Sus scrofa: one gene and its partners. The protein of the gene in region 4 interacts with the protein of the main gene of each other region in a pairwise test. Links are inferred from orthologs where the notes say so. Each region holds a gene or a part of one and is shown on either strand. Other genes may lie near its edges. The genes, in order: TPD52, ARFIP2, NDRG4, MAL2, SH3GL1 and PTPN9.

Evidence for each region.
Region 1: the proteins of MAL2 (region 4) and TPD52 interact in a two-hybrid assay, tested with the Homo sapiens proteins (2 studies listed by BioGRID and IntAct). The link is inferred for Sus scrofa from reciprocal best matches to the Homo sapiens genes MAL2 and TPD52.
Region 2: the proteins of MAL2 (region 4) and ARFIP2 interact in binary tests that used the Homo sapiens proteins (3 or more experiments, as listed by UniProt). The two-hybrid records come from large-scale screens. The link is inferred for Sus scrofa from reciprocal best matches to the Homo sapiens genes MAL2 and ARFIP2.
Region 3: the proteins of MAL2 (region 4) and NDRG4 interact in binary tests that used the Homo sapiens proteins (3 or more experiments, as listed by UniProt). The two-hybrid records come from large-scale screens. The link is inferred for Sus scrofa from reciprocal best matches to the Homo sapiens genes MAL2 and NDRG4.
Region 5: the proteins of MAL2 (region 4) and SH3GL1 interact in binary tests that used the Homo sapiens proteins (3 or more experiments, as listed by UniProt). The two-hybrid records come from large-scale screens. The link is inferred for Sus scrofa from reciprocal best matches to the Homo sapiens genes MAL2 and SH3GL1.
Region 6: the proteins of MAL2 (region 4) and PTPN9 interact in binary tests that used the Homo sapiens proteins (3 or more experiments, as listed by UniProt). The two-hybrid records come from large-scale screens. The link is inferred for Sus scrofa from reciprocal best matches to the Homo sapiens genes MAL2 and PTPN9.

The regions. Positions count from the first base shown.
Region 1 is NC_010446.5:56,581,113-56,584,612, forward strand, and holds part of TPD52 (tumor protein D52), read left to right. Parts: intron 1-11; coding exon 12-160; intron 161-2,696; coding exon 2,697-2,798; exon of another isoform or gene 2,799-3,500.
Region 2 is NC_010451.4:3,248,868-3,252,810, forward strand, and holds the start of ARFIP2 (arfaptin-2), read left to right. Parts: upstream 1-1,143; 5' UTR 1,144-1,298; intron 1,299-2,086; 5' UTR 2,087-2,128; coding exon 2,129-2,227; intron 2,228-2,482; coding exon 2,483-2,579; intron 2,580-3,298; coding exon 3,299-3,417; intron 3,418-3,600; coding exon 3,601-3,822; intron 3,823-3,943. Other genes in the region: TIMM10B (mitochondrial import inner membrane translocase subunit Tim10 B), read right to left, coding at 293-469, 666-761, 963-1,001. UniProt on the Homo sapiens protein: Plays a role in constitutive metalloproteinase (MMP) secretion from the trans Golgi network. May have important functions during vesicle biogenesis at certain cargo subdomains, which could be predominantly utilized by secreted MMPs, such as MMP7 and MMP2.
Region 3 is NC_010448.4:20,222,039-20,226,232, forward strand, and holds the start of NDRG4 (protein NDRG4), read left to right. Parts: upstream 1-1,394; 5' UTR 1,395-2,009; coding exon 2,010-2,046; intron 2,047-4,194. UniProt on the Homo sapiens protein: Contributes to the maintenance of intracerebral BDNF levels within the normal range, which is necessary for the preservation of spatial learning and the resistance to neuronal cell death caused by ischemic stress.
Region 4 is NC_010446.5:19,600,672-19,604,171, reverse strand, and holds part of MAL2 (protein MAL2), read left to right. Parts: intron 1-974; coding exon 975-1,145; intron 1,146-3,500. UniProt on the Homo sapiens protein: Member of the machinery of polarized transport. Required for the indirect transcytotic route at the step of the egress of the transcytosing cargo from perinuclear endosomes in order for it to travel to the apical surface via a raft-dependent pathway.
Region 5 is NC_010444.4:74,438,458-74,441,957, reverse strand, and holds part of SH3GL1 (endophilin-A2), read right to left. Parts: intron 1,899-3,500; coding exon 1,830-1,898; intron 1,523-1,829; coding exon 1,450-1,522; intron 641-1,449; coding exon 497-640; intron 84-496; coding exon 1-83. UniProt on the Homo sapiens protein: Implicated in endocytosis. May recruit other proteins to membranes with high curvature.
Region 6 is NC_010449.5:58,137,176-58,140,675, forward strand, and holds part of PTPN9 (tyrosine-protein phosphatase non-receptor type 9), read left to right. Parts: intron 1-783; coding exon 784-894; intron 895-3,467; coding exon 3,468-3,500. UniProt on the Homo sapiens protein: Protein-tyrosine phosphatase that could participate in the transfer of hydrophobic ligands or in functions of the Golgi apparatus.

The DNA of each region.
Region 1 (3,500 bases), about 37 Mb from region 4:
GTTCCTCCCAGGTAGAAGAAGAAATCCAGACCCTGTCTCAAGTGTTAGCAGCAAAAGAGAAGCATCTAGCGGAGATCAAGCGAAAACTTGGGATCAATTCACTACAGGAACTAAAACAGAACCTTGCCAAAGGGTGGCAGGATGTGACGGCCACATCAGCGTAGGTTCCCTTGATCCTACATTTTTCTAGGGAGGGGACAGAAAGGGAATGAGGACATTTCTGCAGCTTTTTTCTGTCCTGTGCAGGGCACTTCGCCCCAGTTCTCAAGTGTACCTGACTCTTCTTTAAGTGTGGTCTTTCCAGCTGTTCTAGGGAATAGAAAAAAAAAAAAAATAGCTTTACATGTGAGTTGAAGATATAAAATCTGAGTTCTGAAAATGTTATATATTGACTTGCTAGATATATACATGTATCACTTAGTCCTCAGAATAACCTGATAGAGAGGATGGTGAGGTAGCCATAGATAATGAAACAGAATCAGGAAGGTTTTTTTTTTCTTCAACGGCCGCACCCATGGCTTATGGAAGTTGCCGGGCCAGGGATTGAATCGGAGCTGCAGCTGCAGGCTTACACCACAGCCACAGCCACACCAGACCTGAGCAAAATTAGCAACCTACACCAGAGCTTGTGGCAATGCTGGATCCTTAATCCACGGAGTGAGGCCAGGGAAGAAACCTGCATGCTCACAGAGACAATGTTGGGTCCTTAACCTATGAGCCACAATGAAAACTCCCAGGATCAGATATGTTTTGAGGTTACAAACCTTTCAGTGTGTGGAGGTAGGATTTGAACTCATCTCTGGCCAAGTACAGAGCCAGTCTTTTTTACCCTGCTCTGAACATGGCTTAGGACTCCCAAGTCTATGATGTGTGATAGTGGCAGAGGTCCACCCCATAATCTTTTGGTCTTTTTCATCACACAGTTTTTTGTTTGTTTCTTTGTTTTTGCTTTTTAGGGATGCACCCTCCACATATGAAGGTTCCCAGACTAGGGGTCGAATTGGAGCTGTAGCTGCTGGCCTACAACACAGCCACAGCCACAACAACACCGGATCTGAGCCATGTCACCATGTCAGCAACCTATACTAGAGCTCATGGCAATGCCGGATCCTTAACCCACTGAGCGAGGCCAGATCCATACTTAACGCATTGAGTAAGGCCAGGGATTGAACCCGCAACCGGAACCCATAACCTCATGGTTCCTAGTCGGATTTGTTTCTACTGCTCCACAACAAGAACTCCCCTCATCGCACAGTTTGGATATGGTATTATCATGATGCAGTTTTGTTTCTAGGCACAAGGAAGAGCAGGCTTCTAGTAACAACCTCTGACTGTTCAGTCCCATCTTCTGAGCTGGTGACCAGCAGCAGGGGTTGACTGCATCCTGACATGACAGCACCAGGGTGCCCAACCTCTTTGGTCCACTTTCTCCTTATATAAGTAGGCAGTAGGGAGATATATATATAGGACAGTGTTCTTTGTATCATCACAAACTGGAATTTTTAAAGTATTGGATCTTGATGGGTGGAGTTCCTGTTGCGGAGCAGCAGAAACGAATCCGACTAGGAAACATGAGGTTTCGGGTTCGATCCCTGGCCTCCCTCACTGGGTTAAGGATCCAGCATTGCTGTGAGCTGTGGTGTAGGTCGTGGATACAGCTTGGATCTGGTGTTGATGTGGCTGTGGTGTAGGCCAGCAGCTGTAGTTCCAATTCGACCCCTAGCCTGGGAACCTCCATATGTTGCAGGTGCAGCCCTCAAAAGACCAAAGACAAAAAATAAACAAACAAAAAAACCAAAAAAAAAAGATCTTGATGGGTAAGTAAAAATGCCTGAGCATCCCTTTATATAAAGTGGGGACCTTAACCTCTTGGGTGTCATGTAAGTACCATATTCTTTTGTTTGTTCTAGATTTTTCCCTTCACCAATCCCTGCAATGATGGCTTGAAGAGGGAAGTGGTAAATTATACCTTTGTGTTATAGCCCATATCCCACTTGAATTATTTGGAGTATTCTATCTTTTACATCTTCTGTTGATAATCCACCAATTATTTGGTAGCTCCGCAGATAGGCAAAATTGAAAAAAAAAATCTTCATGCCCCGAGAACTTATTTGCATAATAAAAAGTACACATGGGGAGTTCCCTGGTGGCTCAGTGGCTTAAGGATCTGGTGTTATTACTGCTGTGGCTCTGGTTACAGCTGTGGCACCAGTTTGATCCCTGGGCGGGGAACTGCCACTGGATGAAACAAAAAACAACAACAAAAAAAAGTATGCATGGGCCCTACTTTGCTTCTGGCCCCTTTTTAGGAGATGAAGTTGGGAAAGGCATGTGAGGAATTTGATTTCAGTTTTGTTTTGTTTGGCTCCAGTGGAAAAGGAAAAAAGTAAGAGGTGTAATTTCATTCAGACTCTGGCTCATTTTGATCTTTGCTCCATGAGTATTTTTAGCCCTTCCCCTGATTTCTTTGGCCCTGTCTTTATAGACCTCTGTCCTTCTGGCTTTCCTGGGGCACTGCAGAAGATTGTGTCTGAGGTGATGGTTAGATGGAAGATGATGTGATGATGCTTACCTGGTGGTTGTGAAGAAGATTTCTAAAAATCCAAGAGGTGGTGATTACTGAACTCTAAATAATTGCTATTAGAAAGGTTATTAGCTTACTTTTCTTTGCTCTTTTCTTTTCTAATTTAATATAGATACAAGAAGACATCTGAAACTTTATCTCAGGCTGGACAGAAAGCTTCAGCTGCTTTTTCGTCTGTTGGATCAGTCATCACCAAAAAGCTGGAAGACGTCAAGTATGTCCCCATTTTTCCTTGCTTATGTAAACTGAGGCAAATGAAAATCAGTTATCATGGTTGAGGTGGGTTCCTGCCTGGTTCTGCCTGATGCTGGACCCTCTTTCAAACCAGGACCTGAGGGAGTTCCTGTCGTGGCTCAGTGGAAGCAAATTTGATTAGTATCCACAAGGTTGTGGGTTCGATCCCTGGCCTTGCTCAGTGGGTTATGGATCCGGCGTTGCAATGAGCTGTGGTGTAGGTTGCAGACTTGCTCAGATCTGGCGTGGCTGTGGCTGTGGTGTAGGCCAGCAGCTACAGCTCTGATTTGACCTCTAGCAGACAAAAAACAAACAAAGAAAAAAACAGGACCTGAAATATTTCCTTAAATTCTAACGGGCCTAGTCTTCAAACTGATTGTCCTCTGAATGCATTTAAGGATGTTGAAAAATTCTGGTTGTGAACTTTTGTCCTTTTAGCCCTTGTTGATCACAGGGTAAGTATGTCTCTCAGGGTTGCAGACTTGTGATTGTGGGCTGAGCTTGGGGTCTGATGGGGGTGAGTCTGGGAGCCCTGAGCGCACGCTTGGACTGAGTCCTGCCTTTGCTTCTGGTGGCACATCTTTATCTCACCATGTGCTTCCAACATGCTCATTTGTGTACTGATTCGTACCATCTATGTTCATGCCAAGGCCCAAATCGTGATTTTTGAGCTGTTGTTGCT
Region 2 (3,943 bases), on a different chromosome or scaffold from region 4:
CACGAACCAGCGTCTTGTTGCCAATTTTAAAGCTGTACCCACAGACCTTCCTTTAACCAGGTGCCTGGGAATGCTGAGGTTTTCCTTCCACACACAGAAGGCAACTTCTCCCTGCCCAGAATATCAACCGCACAGATTACAGCAGGTTTATTAGCTCCAGGAAAAGGAGCAACAGTACCTAGCTCTCAGGCAACTCCTCATTCTCTACATACAGGCTCCATCTTGCCCAAGGTCCACTGCTCCTTCAACGTGAGGGTCCATCCAGTGCCTCCCTTCTCAGCGTTGAGGACAGCTAGCTGCCAGATGGCGAGGCTTCTGGCTGTTCAGCAGCAACACCTGGCACAGCTGAGGCAGCCTCGTAGTCAGCGATGCGGCGCTGTACCAGGGCAGGCATGAGCTGCACGTAAGCGGCCATGAGGCGGTGGTTGGAATGGATCAGCTTCCCGGCACAGCTGTGCAGACAGGCCTCCTGGAAGGAAGACAGGGTGGAAGTAGAAGCCAAAGGTGTCCAGTCAGGTCCGTTTCCCTCCTTCCCATCCCCAGCCTCAGGGCGGAGGTCGTGGGAAGCCAGGGCCGGACGTAGGGGAATTGACGGGAGAGGGAAGCAGTGCACGGTTAGCTCTGAGGCTCGAGGAGCACTTCCCTACTCAGTTCCCCCACCTAACCTCCTCGGCATCCAGAGCTCGGTGATGCAGGCTGGGCACGCAGCGCTGGAAGCAGAGTTCCGTCATCCGATTGTAGACCAACAGGAAGTCCCGCAACTGGGGAGGAAGGGGGACAAGGAACTCAGCGAAGAGGGGGCCACGTCTCAACTCAAGGCCGCGCTGCCGGCGCTTTCCCAGGACCGTGTACCACGGCCCGTGGTTCCCAGCCCTTGGATGCCTGGCTCTCTGGGGTTTCCGCCATGCGAACAGGGATGCTAGCTGGATGCAGGGCCCTTAAGCGACTTAGCTCCCACTCACGTTTCTCAGCTGCTGCTGCTGCTGCTGTTGCTGTTCCATCACGCCGCCGGCGCACAACCTACGTCACTTCCGTTACAGCTTCTAGGGAACGCCCCGGAAGTGACCTCAATGGCTCCCCAGGGGCAGAGGGGTTGGCTCAAGGAGCGCCCGCCCACCTCCCCGCGACGTCACTTCCGCCCTCATAATCGGCTACGTGGCCGGCTTCTTCTGCCCGGGAGAGGACGTCACTTCCGCCGAGTCCCTGACCTGCTGCTAGGATCGCGACGGGAACTGGATCCCGAGATCCCCGCGCGGCCCGGGCCTGGCGCCCTGAGGGGAAGAGCGGCCCGGCCCGAGGTGAGAGGGACGTGCATGGGCGAGGGCAAGGTGAACGCACGAACCTGACCTGAGGGCAAGATGCTTCTGAGCCCTGGGAAAGGATGAGGACACACCTGACGCCCAGGTGTATGGGGGGAGGGCGGAGACTCACACACCTGGGGAGACCTAACTGACTTTGGAAGGGATCACCTCCCTATGTCCTGGGGCAAAGGGACTTTTCCCCGGGGTCGGGAACTTACACCAACTGATTCAACTAAGGCCTGGGGCGGGGGTGGGGGCAGGAAGAGGGGGTGCATGGGATGGAGGAGGGGGAGACCACCTGCAGGAAAGAGGAGGAGACATTAGAGGAGTGTGAAAGGCCAAACAATGGCGAACATACCTGAACGGGGATAGGCACCTGAGCGCTGGGAAAGGGATTGTCTCCTGATGAGGAGGAATACCTGCGTGGGGATAAGCTGCTTGAGAGCACAGGCTTTCTCTCCATTGCCTCAAATAGTGCGTGGCATGTAGTAGGCACTCATTAAATGTCTGTGGAAGGACTGAATGCATGAATGATCCCTGGACTGCTGGGGGGGTGGGGGTGGGGGGGTCATGAGAACATGACCTCTGGTCAGGCACACCTGAGGCCTGGGTGCCTGTGTGTAAAACTTTGCACCTTGGAAGGGAGAAAGACAAAGCCCCGAGGGAAGAGTGGTGGGCAGACCCCACCACACTGAAGCCCCGGGACGGCCTCTGCAAGGGCAGGGGAGACCTTCCTCTTCGGAGAACTGGCCCGTTTCCAGAACTGTCTGTGTTGGGCTTTGCAGGGCGCTGGGGTGGAGACTTTGACTCCAGTCCCTTCGCTCGCCATGACGGACGGGATCCTAGGGAAGGCAGCCACAATGGAGATCCCCATCCACGGGAATGGTGACGCGGGGCAGCTTCCTGAGGATGATGGGCTGGAGCAGGTGCTTCTGTTTGATTCTTCACATTGTTTCAGTTGAGGAATCCCAACTCTTAAACCCTGAGCTCTCTCCTTCTTCCAGTAGCCTTCCCCCAACTCACCTGATTTCCTTCAGTCTTTTTACCAATCTTTGTTCTGATTCTGTGCAGACTTCCCTTGTGTGCTCTCTCTATGATGCTTCAATCCAAGCTTGTTTTCACCCCCAAAATGCTTCAGCTGCCCATATGTTCCTGAAGCCCCCCTCTTCTCTGGCCTATAGGACCTCCAGCAGGTGATGGTGTCAGGACCCAACCTCAATGAAACCAGCATTGTGTCTGGTGGCTATGGGGGCTCTGGTGATGGACTCATCCCCACAGGTATGAATGATCAGAGCAGGATAGGGCATTGAGTGGAGAGGGGAAGAGGACTGGCTCCAGGGGGCATAGGATACGTCTAAGAAGGCGTGAATCATGTCTGGAGCTCGTGGGAACCTCTGCCAGGATGAACCCGCGGGCATCTCAGCCCAAGGCCCGTTCCCAGGGGTGTCCATCTGCCTCCACTTGCCACTTTGTCCCTCAGATATGCCCACTTGTCCCTTCTCTGCCGTCACTACCTGAGTCAGGCAGAGAACTCTGTTCACCAGGCCTCCCCTGCTCTGGAGCTTGAATCTGATTTGGAGCTTTGAGAGGCTTATCAGAGTCTTACGTTAGACTCTGCTATTTAGAGGAACAAGCAGCCCTGAATCTCGCAGTGACTGGGATCCACATGGGAATGTCAGCCAGGTGTTCGGTTCGAGGGGCGCCCAGCCATGGTCAGCGACCCCATTCTCAGCCTAGTCTCCGCTGTTTCCTCTGCCCCTGCACACGAGCAACCCCTCCCACCTCCCTTTCCAGTCCTCACCTCCACGTCAAAAGGAGGCCAGGTGTATGTTGGGATTGGGTCTCAGGGTCCAAGGCATGAATTCCTCCTAGTGAGTCTCCAGCCCTGCTCCTTCCGGGGCGTCATTTTCATGTGCTGGGAGGGAAGTGTGGGTGGAACCACAGAGGCGTCGGATTGTGTCTGAGAGAGGCTGGTGTCAGAGAACTTGGTCCTTTAGGGTCTGGCCGCCATCCATCTCACAGCGCCCCTCCTGCTGGCCCCGGGGATGAGGTGGCCCGGGGCATCGCTGGAGAGAAGTTCGACATCGTCAAGAAATGGGGCATCAACACGTATAAGGTGGGATTCACGCACCTCCTCCGCCCCCTGAGCTCCCCCGGGTACCTCTTCCCCATCTTGCGGATCCTCCTGTCCCATCATCTCGGGCTGAGACTTGGAGTCTGGGGACGCCGGGGTAGACACTTGCTGCGGGGCAGGGCCGGGCGCCAGGGTCTCTGACCTGTTCCCCCACTTCCCACTCAGTGCACAAAGCAGCTGTTATCAGAGCGGTTTGGCCGAGGCTCCCGGACTGTGGACCTGGAGCTAGAGCTGCAAATTGAGCTGCTGCGTGAGACGAAGCGCAAGTATGAGAGTGTCCTGCAGCTGGGCCGGGCCCTGACAGCCCACCTCTACAGCCTGCTGCAGACCCAGCATGCACTGGGGGATGCCTTTGCTGACCTCAGCCAGAAGTCCCCAGAGCTTCAGGTGCCTTGGGCAGGCCAGAGGGGGAGGGGGGCCTGGGCCCGGGGCCCTCCCAGGCAGTCACCCCTCAGCCTCCCTCCTCCCTCCCTCCTGCAGCCCAGAGGGAGAACCCCTCCAGGGTGGG
Region 3 (4,194 bases), on a different chromosome or scaffold from region 4:
TCTGTCACCACTGGCCTCTCCTCATCATCTCCTTTACAAAGGAGGACATTGAGAGGCAAGATTCCCCAAAGTGAGCCCCAGAGTTGTAAGGAGAACCCAAGCTTGCTGCCTCCAAGCAGGAATGTGCAACCCATCCCCACCCACCAAATTTTACCAGCTTCCTAAACATTAGTTAATTCAAGGTCATGGCAGCTTCCAGGGAAACCTGGGGCTGAGGAAAATCTGGGTCCTCACCCCAAACCAGCCCAGGTAAAAGTCCAGTGAAGGGGGAAGAGACAAGAGCCTCTTGACTGCTCAGCCCACTGGCCATGCGGGACGGCCCAGATGTCCTGGTCGGACGCAGTCACTCAGCACAGGAAAGGCTGGAATCAGGAGTGGCAGAACCCCGCCTAAGGTCAGTGGCAGGGCCTGAAGACAGCCTCGGTGTCCAGCAGCCCTCCTCTTGAGCTGTCTTTGCCCAAGTAAAATTTTTCGGGTCCTCACATTTCCGTTCTCCCCACTAAGATTCCAGCCAGGCGCTCTCACACTTTTCGGGTGACAGCAACAGCACTGGGCCGGATGGGAGTGAGCCCGAGGACGATGCGGGTCCCTAGTTCCCTTTCCTGCTCGCTCCGATAACGGAGGGTGAATGGAGGGGAGCAGGGACCTCGCCACATTTCGGGGGAGGGGGTACCCAGAACACCTTTGGGCGGAGTCACTCCTGCATGAGCTCGCCAAGGAAACTCTTGGGCTCTAAAAATGGGAGACATGCTGCCTGAGCACCTGGCGCTTCCTGACCTCCCCCCCCACCCCGGAGCATTTCCCCAGGGGTTCCCAGCTGGCACCAGGGGCAGAGGAGGAGGAGAGTGCAGTCTCCTTCGGGCTGAGGTTCCCCTCGGGAATCTAAACAAAGACTGAGACAGAGGGCCACCCCCTCCCTCGAGAGCCCGACGACGCGCGCGGCTACCGGGGACTGGCGGGGCGGGCGGCGCCTCCCACCGCACCCGACACCCTCCGAGCGGCTGGGACCCTTCTCCCGACGCCTCCACCAGGTGAGGAGCGGGTTGATCGGCCCGGGGTCTCGGCTAGGCTTCGGAGCCGCCGCTTCCCGCTCGCCTGCCCACCCACTGGGCACTCCACCCGCGGCGGGAGGGAGGCGGAGGCTGAGCGCCCAGGCCCGCCTCCCGGGTCCAGCCCCCAGGCCGGGCCCAGCGCCCACGTCCCCGGCGCCCACGTGGGCACGCCCCCCGCGGCGCACCACCCCCGGCCCGGCCTCCGCCCCCGGCAGTGGAGGCTCTGTGGAGGGGCCCCGGGCTGCCTGCACCTGCACGCGAGCGTTGGCGGCTGCGGCGCCGAGGCCCCGCTCCCCGCCTGCGCGTCTGACTTGCTCGCATCACCCTCGGTGAGTTGGAGGCGCCCCTGGGCCCATCTTCCCCTGATCCCACAGCCACTGCGGCCCGCGGCCAGCTCCCCACCCCCGCGCAGCCCCTGCCCACGACCTAGACCCACGGGCCTGCCGCCTTGTCCCTGGGCCACGCTTCACCTACGAGGGCGGTACCCCCTCCCCACCCCACTCCACCCCGCCCGAGCTCATCCTCCTCGCTTTCCCGGTCAGACTCGAGGACCCCAAGGACCACGGCCTCGCTACCGCCTCCCAAACCGCGACATCGGGGATGGCCTGGCCTCTTTGTTCGGGCGGAGGGCCCAGGTGCCCCCTCCTCCGCCTTGTGAAGTGTCACCCGCACCCACCCCCGCGCTCCTTCCGCCTCCCAGAGTTCACCCCGACCAGGTGGCGGCGGGCGCCTTTTAGGGGTGCGCGGTGGTGCAATTGGTGGATTTTTTTAAACCGGTTTGGAGGGGGGAGCGCGGCGTAGGGGGCGGCGAGAGCGCTCTCGGCTCCCGGCTGCTCCTCCTGCTGCGCTCCTCGCTCCTGCTGCCCCCCTCGCCTCCGGCGCTCCTCTCCCCAGCTCGGCCGAGCGCACTCCCCAGACGCCGTAGCCCCGAGCCGGGCAGCGCCGGGCGCCGCCGAGATGAAGGTGCTAGGACACAAGATCGAGCTGCTGACAGGTACCGCCGGCCCTTCCCCGCCGGCGCCCCTTGGCGCGGCCCTCGCCACCCGCTACTTTTGGAGTTGTAGCTGGAGCAGGGTGCGGAGCGAGGTTTTGAGGGGGTTCAGGTTCGAGCAAGAGGAGGGTTTTTGCGAATACCAGCTAATTCCTAGCTTCTGCGCTGCAGGTTCCCGAGCGGAGCCCAGCCTGGGAGAGGACTTGGGCGGTGCCTTGCCCGGCTTTGCTCTCTGAGTCCCGGTGTCCTGGTGGTAGAGCAATTGGGAGGCAGAGCGAGGGTCAAGGGAGGAGCCCCTGGGGTCTCCGACTAGCCAAGCTCTATTCAAGTCCCAGAAAGGGGAAAGGAATCTTAGAGCGCCTGCCCTTCAATCAATGTGGCTTGGTGCCCCCCAAGAAAGGAGCTCCCTGGACTCCCAACAGGACCTCTGCTGTGCACCTCTCATTTCCTGCTCCCTGTGACAATCCGAGCGCCTCTCCGAGGAGAAGTTACTTCCTGGGAGTAGAGGCCAAGGAGCCAGGAGAGTTGCAAGCCAGATTGGTCCCTGATGACTGGGGACCTTCAGCCTTTGGACTCCTCTGAAGTGGCCAGACATCCTGCTGGAAACCATATCCAGGATGCTGTGCTGCAGGGTCCTGGGTCTGCCCAGACACGAGGCAGGACAGAGGACAAGGGGTCTGGAGAGTGGAGATGCTCTCCCAGGCGGGAAGGGCGGATGGTACAGGTGGCCTCTGTGGTCCCCCCCCCTCCCCGCCCCGGGAAGAGGCGTAGACAGACCTAGACAGGAGGATGGGAGCTAGGAAAGGGAAACAGTCGGGAAGTCGAGATCCCACTGGGTCCTGGGCTGTGGAGGTGCTCGATCGGTGTGTGCTGGATGGACACGTGGATTCTGGTAACTGTGCACCGGGGCAGTTTGGTCCCTGACCTGGAGCACATTCCCACCTGGTACAAGGGAACAGGGCCCAGGAACCCTGTTTCAAGACAGGAAAGGGGACGGCAGTGTGGGGATGCACCCAGGAAGCAGGTCGGAGTCTGAGTGGGGGAACAGAAGGGGAGCAAATAGATGTGAGCACACGGCAGCTTCTGAACTGGACCCTAAAAGACAGAATTTCTATTAATGGAGAGGGAGGTGGCATTACAGGTGAAGGACCGGCACATGCAGAGGCTCTGGGACGTGAGAGAGGCTTGGACTGGGAGTGATGTGGTGTGAGGCAAGCAGAGGCTGGAGGGGCTGGACTCTGTGTGATGGGGTGGGGGGTGGGGTGAAGTTTCTGGCTGTGAGTTAAAGTAACAGCGGCCACCCCTGGGCTCAGGCCAGGCTCTCAGAGACGGGAAGGTGGGCGGTGTTCCTGGAGCATTGGAAACACTGGCCAGGTGCTCAGAAGTGCCAGATCTGAGCCCAGTTAGCCACGGGGCCGGCATGGCCTCCAATCCTTTCCCTATAGAGCTCACTTGAGGCTCACTTGACTGCAAAGACCACACGACTGAGGGGTGGCTGAACTTGCTGATCTCCCGGAGGGAAAGTTTTCGCCACCCAGGGGTTTTTAGAGCCCTGCATGCAGGATGGAGCTCCTGGATGCTTCCCCTTCTCCTCTCCCAACCCAGAAGGGCCTGGAGGAGGGGTGTTCGTGGGAGACACGTGCAGGGGGGGGGGGAGGTGCTCCAGTGGGGTCCACTGTACCCTCATATTCTGGGCACAGGAGTTAAGGCCCCTCCTCCCTCATCAGACAGGCTCCTCCTGTTCTGGCGACTCTCTAAGCCCCTGGCCAGGCTGCAGCAGGACTCTCTCAGTCACTGTCGTTCGTCTCAGGCTCCTACTGTGCATCCCCTCAGGGGTCTTTGCAGCCTTCCCCGCTTTCTCCAGCTGGTTCCCATCCTCTTCCTCGTCCCTTGGATCTGGGTTCAAATCCCAGCCTTGCTACTGTCGGCTGTGTGATTTCACAGAGGTGGCCTAACCTCTCTGATGTCAGCTTTCTCATCTTAGAGATGGAACTGTTGACCCCTCCCTCCGAGAGCTGGCGTGAGGCTCACCGAGATGACATAAGTGACACACTCAGATGGGGCCTGGCCTTGGTGGTTGCCTCTTGGGCCACACCTCCCCTCAGATTCCTTGGTCATGGCTGTCCCTAGGATGGAGGGAGGACTCCACCT
Region 4 (3,500 bases):
CTCTTAGCGCTGCCCGTCCGCATCTTCTCAAGACTGACCCCATGCCCTGGACCAGCCTTCTCTGCCTCTGCTCCTCCCCCAGCCCTGTCCTTTGGGTTGTTGCTTCTAGGGAGTATTTTCAGACTTTTCAAATCTGGATTTAGAGCCCTCACCGCGTGGACTTGCAGGGCCCAGTATTTGCCCATTTGTGATGTGTGTGAAGCAGCGGTTTTGTCCCTTGGTTCATTTTCTCTTTCCTATAAGAGACTGTGACTTCTGTGATGGCCAAGGCCATTGTTTACCATTTCCTTCCTAGCACCTGGCACCGTAGGTATTTAGGGAATGTTATATCTGTGACTATCTGAAGGGCCCACGCCTGTGCCCAACACACAGAAGAGTATCAGCAAATGGTGGAAGATTTGTATTGTTTCTGATCATGTACAGTGGCTACAGCTATTCTGTATATGGGCAATCATCTCACCTGTACAAATAGGTCATAGTAAGGACGGAAACATGCTCACTAGAAGTGACAGGTTAGAACGTCATGGCTAATCTTTGCTAAGAGCCTTTCTGAGGAGTGGTGAAAGCAGAAGCCAGTGGACAGTGGGTTGAAGCGTACCAGCGAGGGGAGGAGGTGGAGAGCAAGCAGAGATGGATTTGTAAAAATGGTGGGCTGAAAAAAAAACATCCTTAGAGAGGGCAGTGGAGATTTTCAAAAGAAAATTGTGTTGGACGGTGAGAGAGTGCTGGACCTGTCATGGGTGGAGGGCGAGTCCCACGGAAAAGCAGGCGTAGAACTAGGTGTAGAGTCAGATCAGGCCCAAGAGCAGAAGCGCTGGCTCGCACCTGCGAGAAGGCATCTCGAGTGGTGATGGAGAAAGGTCTCTGGCCAGCTTGCGGGAACACATGCAGGGGTCCGGGAGAAGCCAAGGCAGCACCCAAGCATGTTCAGTTCTGTGGCCCAGACTGATTACTGTCTTTCTCTTTTCCTTTAGGTGTTGGGGGGACTCGTGTGGATCCTAGTCGCCTCCTCCAATGTTCCTCTACCTCTGTTGCAAGGATGGGTCATGTTCGTGTCTGTGACAGCTTTTGTCTGCTCCCTCCTCTTCCTGGGCGTGTTCCTCTCTGGCGTGGTGACTCAGATTAATGCCAACTGGAACTTCCTGGTAAGGGATTTTTAAATGTCTTTCAGGAAAATGGGAGAAACTTATACATATCTCATTCCTTTTTTTTTTTTTTTTTTTTTGGCTTTTTTAGGGGCCACACCTGCATCATATGGAAGTTCCCAAGCTAGGGGTCGAATTGGAGCTTTAGCTGACAGCCTACGCCACAGCCACAGTAACTGGGGATTCAAGCCATGTCTGCGACCCATACCACAGCTCACGGCAACGCCGGATCCTTAACCCACTGAGCAAGACTAGGGATCAAACCTGCATCCTCAAGGATCCTAGTTGGGTTTGTTAACCATTGAGCCATGAAGGGAACTCCCTATGCATATCTCATTCTGTCCTGAAAAGCCAGACAGAATGTCCCCTGTTCTGTCTGTTGCCTCTAGTGGGAGAGGAAAGCTGTCCCCTATTCTTTCTGTTGCCTCTAGTGCGAGTGGAAAGGTCAGGCCCCGGGGACCGACCACAGTGCTGACATGTGGCCGGCCTTGCTGGACAGCAGGGTCCCAGACTGTAAAATGCCTGTGCTGACAGAGCTGAGCAATCTCTCTGTTACTCCTTTATGAGTTAGATGACCTTTCTGCAAAGACTGTTTTATTTCATACAACAAACGAATCTCATTACAGTTATTGAACTATCGAACGCATGCCTTTGGGAGATGGATGCTGTGATGTATCTTAACATTTTCCATCGATTCCAGCTTCAGATATAAAATACATATATTCTTTTCAGAAAACAAGCAGCTCCATATTCTACCCTCCAAATCCTTAGAAAAGGAGAGGGGATATTTTATCTTTCAGTGCCTGTTCTAGATTAGCAAGAATTGATACGTTTTAAGAATAAATTTGCAATCAACACCATTTTTCAAACTATGACACCATTACATTGGATCAATGTATTTTCCCTTTTTCCCATATAATATAGGGAGCCTCTTTCACGCGTGTGGTTATTCACTGGCCCTATGGAGCATGAATTCCAATCCGTGGTGGAAAGCGCTTTAATGGAGTTCATGAAGAACTGCCATTAGGTGGTTAGAAACTTAAATCAGACCTTTATTCCAACTTTATGGATGTTCCTTTCAAGTGTGGTAGCATTTTATTCAACATGGAGGAAGGTATGTGTTCTTGACTGACTTATAGAGCGTAAGGAGAACCATCATCCCAAAGGGTATCAGCAGTGAAGTCTAGAGCGTGGCTGCCCATCCATCAGCCCACAGCAGGTGGCGTGGGTGAGAGTACAGCCAAGGAGGAAGCATAGTGCACTGGTTACAACCATCCACAGGCCTTGGGGTTAATCTGGTTTGCTTAATAACCCTGTAGCCTTGGGCAAAATGTTAAACCTCATTTCCTCCTCTGTAAAATGGTAGTAATGATACCAACCTCACCAGATGCTATTAAGGAATAACGGGATTCATGTTTTGTAGAGATGCTCGGCTTGTGTCTGATTTCAAGGAAGTGATCAGTAATCATCATAGCTCTTTAAACACACTGAGACTTGCAGTTTCACACTTTGAAAGTTCTTCTGTTTCTTAGGCTGCTGATGCAATGTATGTCTACATTTTGGCCTCGATTTCTCATTAGCAAGGAGAAAATATTTCTAATAATTGGTCAAGTGACAAAGGTCAAAGATCCCTGTTTAAGTTACACATAGTTGCTTTATCTCTTTCTAAATGCCTGGCTTTCTGATAATAATGCATGAATGAATCAGTCAATCCCTGATGTTGGTAAGTGCCACCAGGTTCTTTTCCTTTCAGGCTTGAAGATGGTATTTGGCCCATATGTACCAGTAGCACAGCCCTCTGATACTTTGCCAGTAGTTACTACATAGCCATGGCCCCAGCCTACTGCCTCTTTCTAAGTCCTCTGCTCCCCCTTCCCCTGGCCCTTTCTTGGAGAATTTCCTGGACCTCCTATAGCTCAGGAACTAAGGCATTCATGTCTGTAAAAGTAACAAGTCTCCAGGATCCTGCCATCCTCAGTATTCTTTCTAACTGGTTGATGTATACCCATTACCAATGTTTAAATATTCTTCTTTTTTTTGTTTGTTTTTTTTTTAGGGCTGCACTCATGCCATATGGAGGTTCCCAGGCTCAGGGTCCAACTGGAGCTGTAGCTGCCAGTCTACACCAGAGCCACAGCAAGGTGGGATCCAAGCCTCATCTGTGACCTAAACCACAGCTTATGATAACACCGGATTCTTAACCCACTGAGCAAGGCCAGGGATGGAACCCGAGTCCTCATGGATGCTAGTCGGGTTCGCTAACTGCTGAGCCACGATGGGAACTCCAAAATATTTTTCCAAGTATCACTCCTGGTTTTACTACATATATCTGTATCCTCTTTTTTCCTTCTATTT
Region 5 (3,500 bases), on a different chromosome or scaffold from region 4:
GTTCTGCTTGACCTCTATGTCCAGGGAGTCCTTCACCTCAGCCAGGCGCTTCATGGACTCCCCGGCGTCCAGCAGGGCATCACCTGGGGGAGGAAGCTGTCACAGGAGGCCTTGGCCCCTAGGGTTGAGATACCCCATGCCAAGGACCTGGACGCCAGAATTGAGAACAAGGGACCCTGAAATCTGACACAGAGCCACAGGGGCTGGTGATGATGGGTGTTCACAAGCTACCTTCCCACCTCTTCAAAGGCACCCAGGTCTGCCCTGACCCAGCTGTGGTGGGAGGGTGGCCTCCCCACAGCCATGATACTGTAGGCAGCACCTGTTGTGGACCAGAGGGGCTTTCTCAGGAGCTTCACCGCCCTCGTCCAGAGGACTAGCCAGCCCTGGAGAAGACCTTGGAGCTATGGGGGAAGGGCCAGCCTGCCCGCTGCGCAGAGATGCTGTTGCCCCATGTTCTCAGGCCCTCCCCACTCCAGCCTTCCCTCGGCCTCACCGAAGTTGGACTCGCCACCCAGCTCCTTCCCGTGGCGGATCATGCACTCGCCCAGCAGGCCTTCTGACTGCGGGTAGCCGGGGTTCTTCACCTGCCCACGGATCTTGGACACCGTGTTGAGCATCGTCAGCTTGGCCCGAGAGGCTGGAAGAGGACGGACCGGGTGGGTGTGCAGGTGGTCTCTTGAGCCACCAGGCCTGTGCTTGCCAGTACCACCAGCTACCCACCTCTGCCTGGGTATTTATTTCTAAAGCACTCCCTTGGGCTGAGGAACAGGAATATGAGAAGAACCCCTGAACAGACTTCCCCTCCTCTGCTCTCACGTGCACAAAGGAGCACTGGCAGTGGTCAGGAGAGGTGACTGGCTCCTTGAGGCCCCCAGAGAAGCAGGGCAGGTAGGTGTAGGTGCAGACAGGTACAGGTGGCCCCAGCACAGGTCTCTGCCCAGAGGGGGGTAGGGGTGTGTGTGCTGTGCCTGAGCCTCTGCTAGCTCCAGTCTGTCCCGGCACAGGCCTCAGGGGACACTGCTGCCTTTGCTGCTGTCCTGCATCTGTCACCTTTCACTGCAAACCAGAATTTGGATTTTCCTTGGGGAGAAGGCCCCACCTCATGCTCCAAAGGTAGGCATGTGGCTGGGGCCTGATACTTGATTCAAATTGGGTTAGGTGGGGGTAAAAAGATACTCTTTCTACTGGGACCATTAGCTGTAAGGACAGTTTAAGGCTAGGACTGTTGTGAGAAATGAGAGCTGACAGATGACACAGAAGGGAAAGGCAGGGCCCTGAGGACATCCTTTGGATGCCTGGATCCAGCCATGCCTGAACCTGCCTATCCCTGGGCATCTCAATTCTGTGGGCCCATACATTCCTTCTTCATGTTCTGGTGACTGGAAGATTCCCGACAGAGAGCTCAAAGAGTTGGGGTCAGACCCCTCACAGCAGGCTGGCCCCTACCTGGGTTGGGCTGCAGGTACTCGATGGTTCTGGCCAACACTTCTGTCACAGCCTTGCTGGTAACATCCACCTTCTGTAGAGAGAGGCCATGTGTGGGGTTTTGAAACTGCCGGGGCACCCGAGGCCAAACCAGGAGCCCCTGGACAGCTCTTGCCCTGCTTAGAGCCCACACAAGAACTGCCCGCTGCTTCTGGGGGCTCCCTGGCCTCCGTGTTGTTGGCCATGCTATGCCCTCACCACTGCCTGCCCAGGACTAGGGGAGCCCTGTGACCCGCCTAGACCCTCCTGGTGAGCCTGGCCTCCCGCCAGCTGTCAGGGGCAGGCCCTATGGGGGTTGGTAACACTGCCAGGCATGAGACGGGCACCACCTCTCCCATTACCTTCTCCATCTCCTTGAAGTCATCGTCAAGCTTGGTCCCTTCAGCCCCTCCGACCTTCTCGCTGACCAGCTGGGGGACAAAGGAGGAAAAGTGTGTGAGCCTCAGGGGAGGAGACTCCAGGATGCCTTCCTGCCCTGTCCACTGAAGGGAAGCAGGGCAGGGGCTCAGGACATCTACCATGGCTTCCCAGGGAGACTGAATGTGGCAGCCAATGGCAAAATGAGGGGCTGAACGATACCCACCCCCCCCAAATCTGCATGCTCCTGGAAACCCAGGGCAGGGGGCTCTTCCTGCTGGAAGCCGTCCCTGGCCGAGCTACCTTGTTATGCCGCAATGGCGGCTCCACAATGTTCCCCAGTCTCTGGGTTGTGCAGACCTGCCTGGGCCCAACCATGGCCCAGTGATGTCCTCTCACAGGGCTGAGGCACCCATGCTCACAGAAGCCCTTTCATTCAGGGAACCGTGACCCTGAAGTCCTGCCTCTCTGGGAAGGAATCTCGGACTGTGGGTCTGCATTCCCCAGGGGCGCCCCGAGAGGCAAGCAGGTTCCGAGGCTGAACAAACATGCAGACTGCGTGTGGGACAAGCGCTGAGCAAGAGGGAAAGACCTGCCCGACAGAAGCCAACTACTGTGGTGCCTGGAAGTGACTTTTCATGCATGTGTGTGAGCATGTGTGTGAACCCATGCACATGAAACTTCCTGGCAGCCACCTGTGAGGACAGCTCCCGGGGCTAAGGGCACCAAGGGGCCCACCAGCTGACAGGAGTGTCGGACCACTATCGTTCAACAACTGGTCCACTGCCTTCTATCTGTGTGGTCTTGGGCAATCAGCCTCGCTGGGCCTCAGTTTTTGCTTCTATAAAGTGGAGTGACAGGTGTGCACTCGTAGGGCTGTGGCCAGGCTTCGTGGGCGCTGCATGCGCATGTGTGCTCAGGGTACTCCCCCTGCCCACACCCATGACTGCTGTTATTCTCCCTGGGCATCTTGGTCCTCCAAGTGGAGCACAGAACTGCAGGGCAGGCCTGGCCTACAGGTCTTTGTCACCCCGAACCTGCATGTCCCTGTGAGTCAAGTGTTCTCACAATGGCTACGTGTCAGGAGCCTAGGAGGGGATGGGGTGGGGGGCACAGATGAGAGATGAGACCCTGCGGTGGGGGCACAGGAAGGAAGCAGGGCTGGCTCAGGGCCCACTCAGTCATGCCCCAGCCTTTGAGGGACCTCCAAGGTAGGCAGGGGCTGCCCTCCTGGTTCTGACTTTATAAGGAAAGACACTGGTCTCTCCTAGGTGTTTTTAGGGCGTTCCACTTTATTTCATGGCATGGTTTCACTTCTTTTGATTATGGTAAAACAGGACGTTCTCAGCTTCGGTGGTTGCCACAGAGGGAAATGAGTTAGCTGCCTGACGTGAGACTAGACTCTTCTGGTGAACTCAAAGGGCAGCCGAGGCGCCAGGGCTCAAAAACCACACCTTCCGGGCCGAGGGCCTGCTCAGTGCAGGGAGCACAGGTGCTCCCAGGGAGCAGCCCCTGCTGGCAGGCACCATGTCCCCTGAGGGGCAAGGGCACAGGCAGACCCCATAGCCTCTTCCAGCCCCCCAGGAGTGTCACCTTTCTGCCTCCCCTGGGAGCCCTGACAGCTCCACAGGCATCTATGTGCAGGGCCGCCCTCA
Region 6 (3,500 bases), on a different chromosome or scaffold from region 4:
GCTCAGGAAAAAAAAAAAAGTTTTTGTTTGAAAGTGCAGCACTGTGCTGACAGTAAAAATCATAGAGATTTAACATGATCAGGGAATTATAATCACAGAAAAAGGGTAAGGAAATACTCATTTCTTATCAAAATTTCCTTCAAGATCTTCTTTCAGATCTTCAGGAAGACTTGATAATCTTTAGGGTATCTCTTACTAGTTAGCTAAAATTACTGAACTCTTTCTCAGTCATTAAATGGGTCCAGATCAAATAATTCAAAGCCCACGCTTTTAAACATGGGAATTCCAGCACACTCATTTATAATTCTGAGGTATCCCCCATCTGTTCCTCCATAACATCATTACTTTTAAAGGTAAATCAGCTTTTTTTTTTTTTTTTTTAACTTTTAGGGCCGCTCCTGCGGTATATAGAGGTTCCCGGGCTAGGGGTGGAATCAGAACTACAGCTGCAAGCCTATACCACAGGCACAGCAATGCCAGATCTGTAACCCACTGAGCAAGGCCAGGATCAAACCTGCAACCTCATGGATCCTAGTCGGATTCGTTTCTGCTGTGCCACGACGGGAAGTCCAAAGGTGAATCAGCTTTTAATTTCTCTCAGAAAACTTTTTCTCTGGCTACTGAAGTGAAACTTGAATTAGGCTGTAGACTCCCTCTTCTGGTTAAGAATGGGAAGAAGAGCAGAAAACCTAAACTTTGGACTTGGAACAGTCACAGGTCCCACTAAGCACTGTTGCAGGGCCCTGGTTGGTATCTTTAAATCCTTGTATGTATTCTCCGCAGGGAGCTTTTCCAGCTCGTTTGAAGAAAGTGCTGATTGTGGGGGCACCCATTTGGTTCCGAGTGCCCTACTCCATCATCAGCCTCCTTCTGAAGGACAAAGTCCGGGAGAGGGTAAGGCAAGCTGACTTTTATTTTATTTGGAGGTGGGATAGATACATTACCATCTATAGTGCTGATACTTGCCAATTAATATTCCGCCTTCAAAAAACCTTCCTGGCTTGTTTCCTAGAATGCTTTTTGCTTCTGTTAGTCCATTCACTTATATTCTCTGTTTTATTCTTTACTCAGTTCAGTACAGGTTGCAAGTTCCTTGAAGTTAGGACCTAAACTTAATTTGGGTACTTCCCCTCTATAGCACCTTGCATGCAGATAGTACTGATGGAACCTGTCTCCAGGGTAACTTAGAGATAGCAACTTCTTTCAAAATTTAGTCTCGGGCTCTACAGGTGTTTAATATTTAACAATTTCTAATACAATTGCATTAGTCGAACTGGTGTTTGAATTTGTTCAGCTGGAAATATCATTCCAGGGTAGTGGAGGAGAGTCTCAGACTATATCTATTCCTGGCATTTTCTCTTAAAACAACTTGTAGCTTCTTAAAACTTCAAAAGTGTTCTCTAAAGTTATCTTAATGCCATTATCATTCCTTGAGTATTCCAGGACTGAAAGATTGTGGTTTCAATCACTTATTCACTCATTTCTTACCCTTAAAGGGCATATGAAACATTGATATAATGAAATAAGGTAATAACACTGTTGGGTTTTTTAGTGTGAGATTAGGTGATTATATGAGTAATAACCTATCTTTCATATCTTTGTAGCTGAGACCACCTAGGTTGGAGAGGGGAAACTAAAGCCATTTGGTTTTGTGGAAGCTTCTTAGGGACCTATTGACCCCAAGTAGAAGAGGTCTTTCCTAAGACAACTCTTTGAGAGGACTGCTTAGACAGGTTCTTACATTTGAATTATATACAAGTATTGGAGTTCCTGTTGTGGTGCTGTGGAAACAAATCCGACTAGGAACCATGAGGTTGAGAGTTCAATCCCTGGCCTCACTCAGTGGGTTAAGGATCCGGCGTTGCCGTGAGCTGTGGTGTATGTCACAGACACAGCTCAGCTCTGGTGTTGCTGTGGCTGTGGTGTAGGCCCGCAGCTGTAGCTTCAATTAGACCCCTAGCCTGGGAACTTCCATATACCATGGGTGTGGCCCTAAAAAGACAAAAAAAAAAAAAAAAAAAAAAAAAAAAAAGGAAGGTAAAAAGAAAAATGAATTATATACAAGTATCCATGCATGTGTAAACTCAAACTACATTGAGCACTTTTACAGTCCAGGCTCTGGGCTCTGGAAATTAATAGTTGAGTGAAATGGTCCTTACTCTTGAGGAACTCATGGTCCTGAAAGGGAACACAGACATATGCAGAGTACTGTGGTTCTGCAGGAACATAGAGAAGAATGTTGCCTTGGACAGTTAGTGGGGGCTTCAGAGAAGGGGTAAACTATAAACTGAGCTTGGAAGAGACCAAAGAGGTAAAGTGGACATTTGAGGAAGAGGCAACAGCAAGCGAGGGAAACATTCCTATTCCACATGAGAACCAACTAGGCTTGTTTTGTCCAATATGACTGTGTCTAAGCAGAGGGTGAAATTAGGTATTACAGTTACTTCTTCAGCATTTTTCCTGGGTTACACTGCCTCTTGGTGGCTGGCCTTGTCTTGCTTTCATAGAAACCTATCTCTGAGGGGAGTTCCCATTGTGGCGCAGTGGTTAACGAATCTGACTAGGAACCATGAGGTTGCGGGTTCGGTCCCTGCCCTTGCTCAGTGGGTTGTTAACGATCCAGCGTTGCCGTGAGCTGTGGTGTAGGTTGCAGACACGGCTCGGATCCCGGGTTGCTGTGGCTCTGGTGTAGGCTGGTGGTTACAGCTCCGATTCGACCCCTAGCCTGGGAACCTCCATATGCCACGGGAGTGGCCCAAGAAATAGCAAAAAGACAAAAAAAATAAATTAAAAAAAAAAAAAAAAAAGAAACCCATCTCTGAGAACATCCATACCTAGCTGTGAGTAAAGCACAAACTAACAGTCTTAGAATTGGTTGCCTTAGTATGGAGTTGACAAAAATAACCACTTCCTTTGCATCATTAGTTGTCAAAAAGGCAAGTAATGGAGTTCCCGCTGTGGCACAGCCCGTTAAGAATTGGCATCGTCTCTGTGGTGGTGCGGGTTCAATCCTGGCCTGGCGTAGTGGGTTTAAGGATCTGGTATTGCTTGCTCCTGCAGCTTGGATTTGATCCCTGGCTGTGGAACTTCCACATTTTGCAAGTACAGCCAAAAAAGGAAAGAAAACAAAGAGGTGGTTACCTGTGTGAGAGTACTGGAAAGTCTTATAAACAGTATAAAGGCTTTGTTCACTATACCTACCTACCTTTATATAAGGTATATAACAGGGACCCTAATTCCAGGAATGAATTTACTAATGCATTCTGGGAAGTCAAACCTTTTCTGAGAAATTCATAGGACTTCAGTCCCAAACAGATGAAATGCAGCAGTCTGCTTCTTTTACAAATATACCAGGTGTTGCAAGCAAATCTTATTTCATTCTCCAAAGCACTTTTGTTCTTCATCTTGACTATCTGTATGTTCCCCTCCCTCCCCACATACTCACATGGTTTTTCCTGGCCTTCCAGATTCAGATTTTAAAGACGTCTGAGGTCACCCAG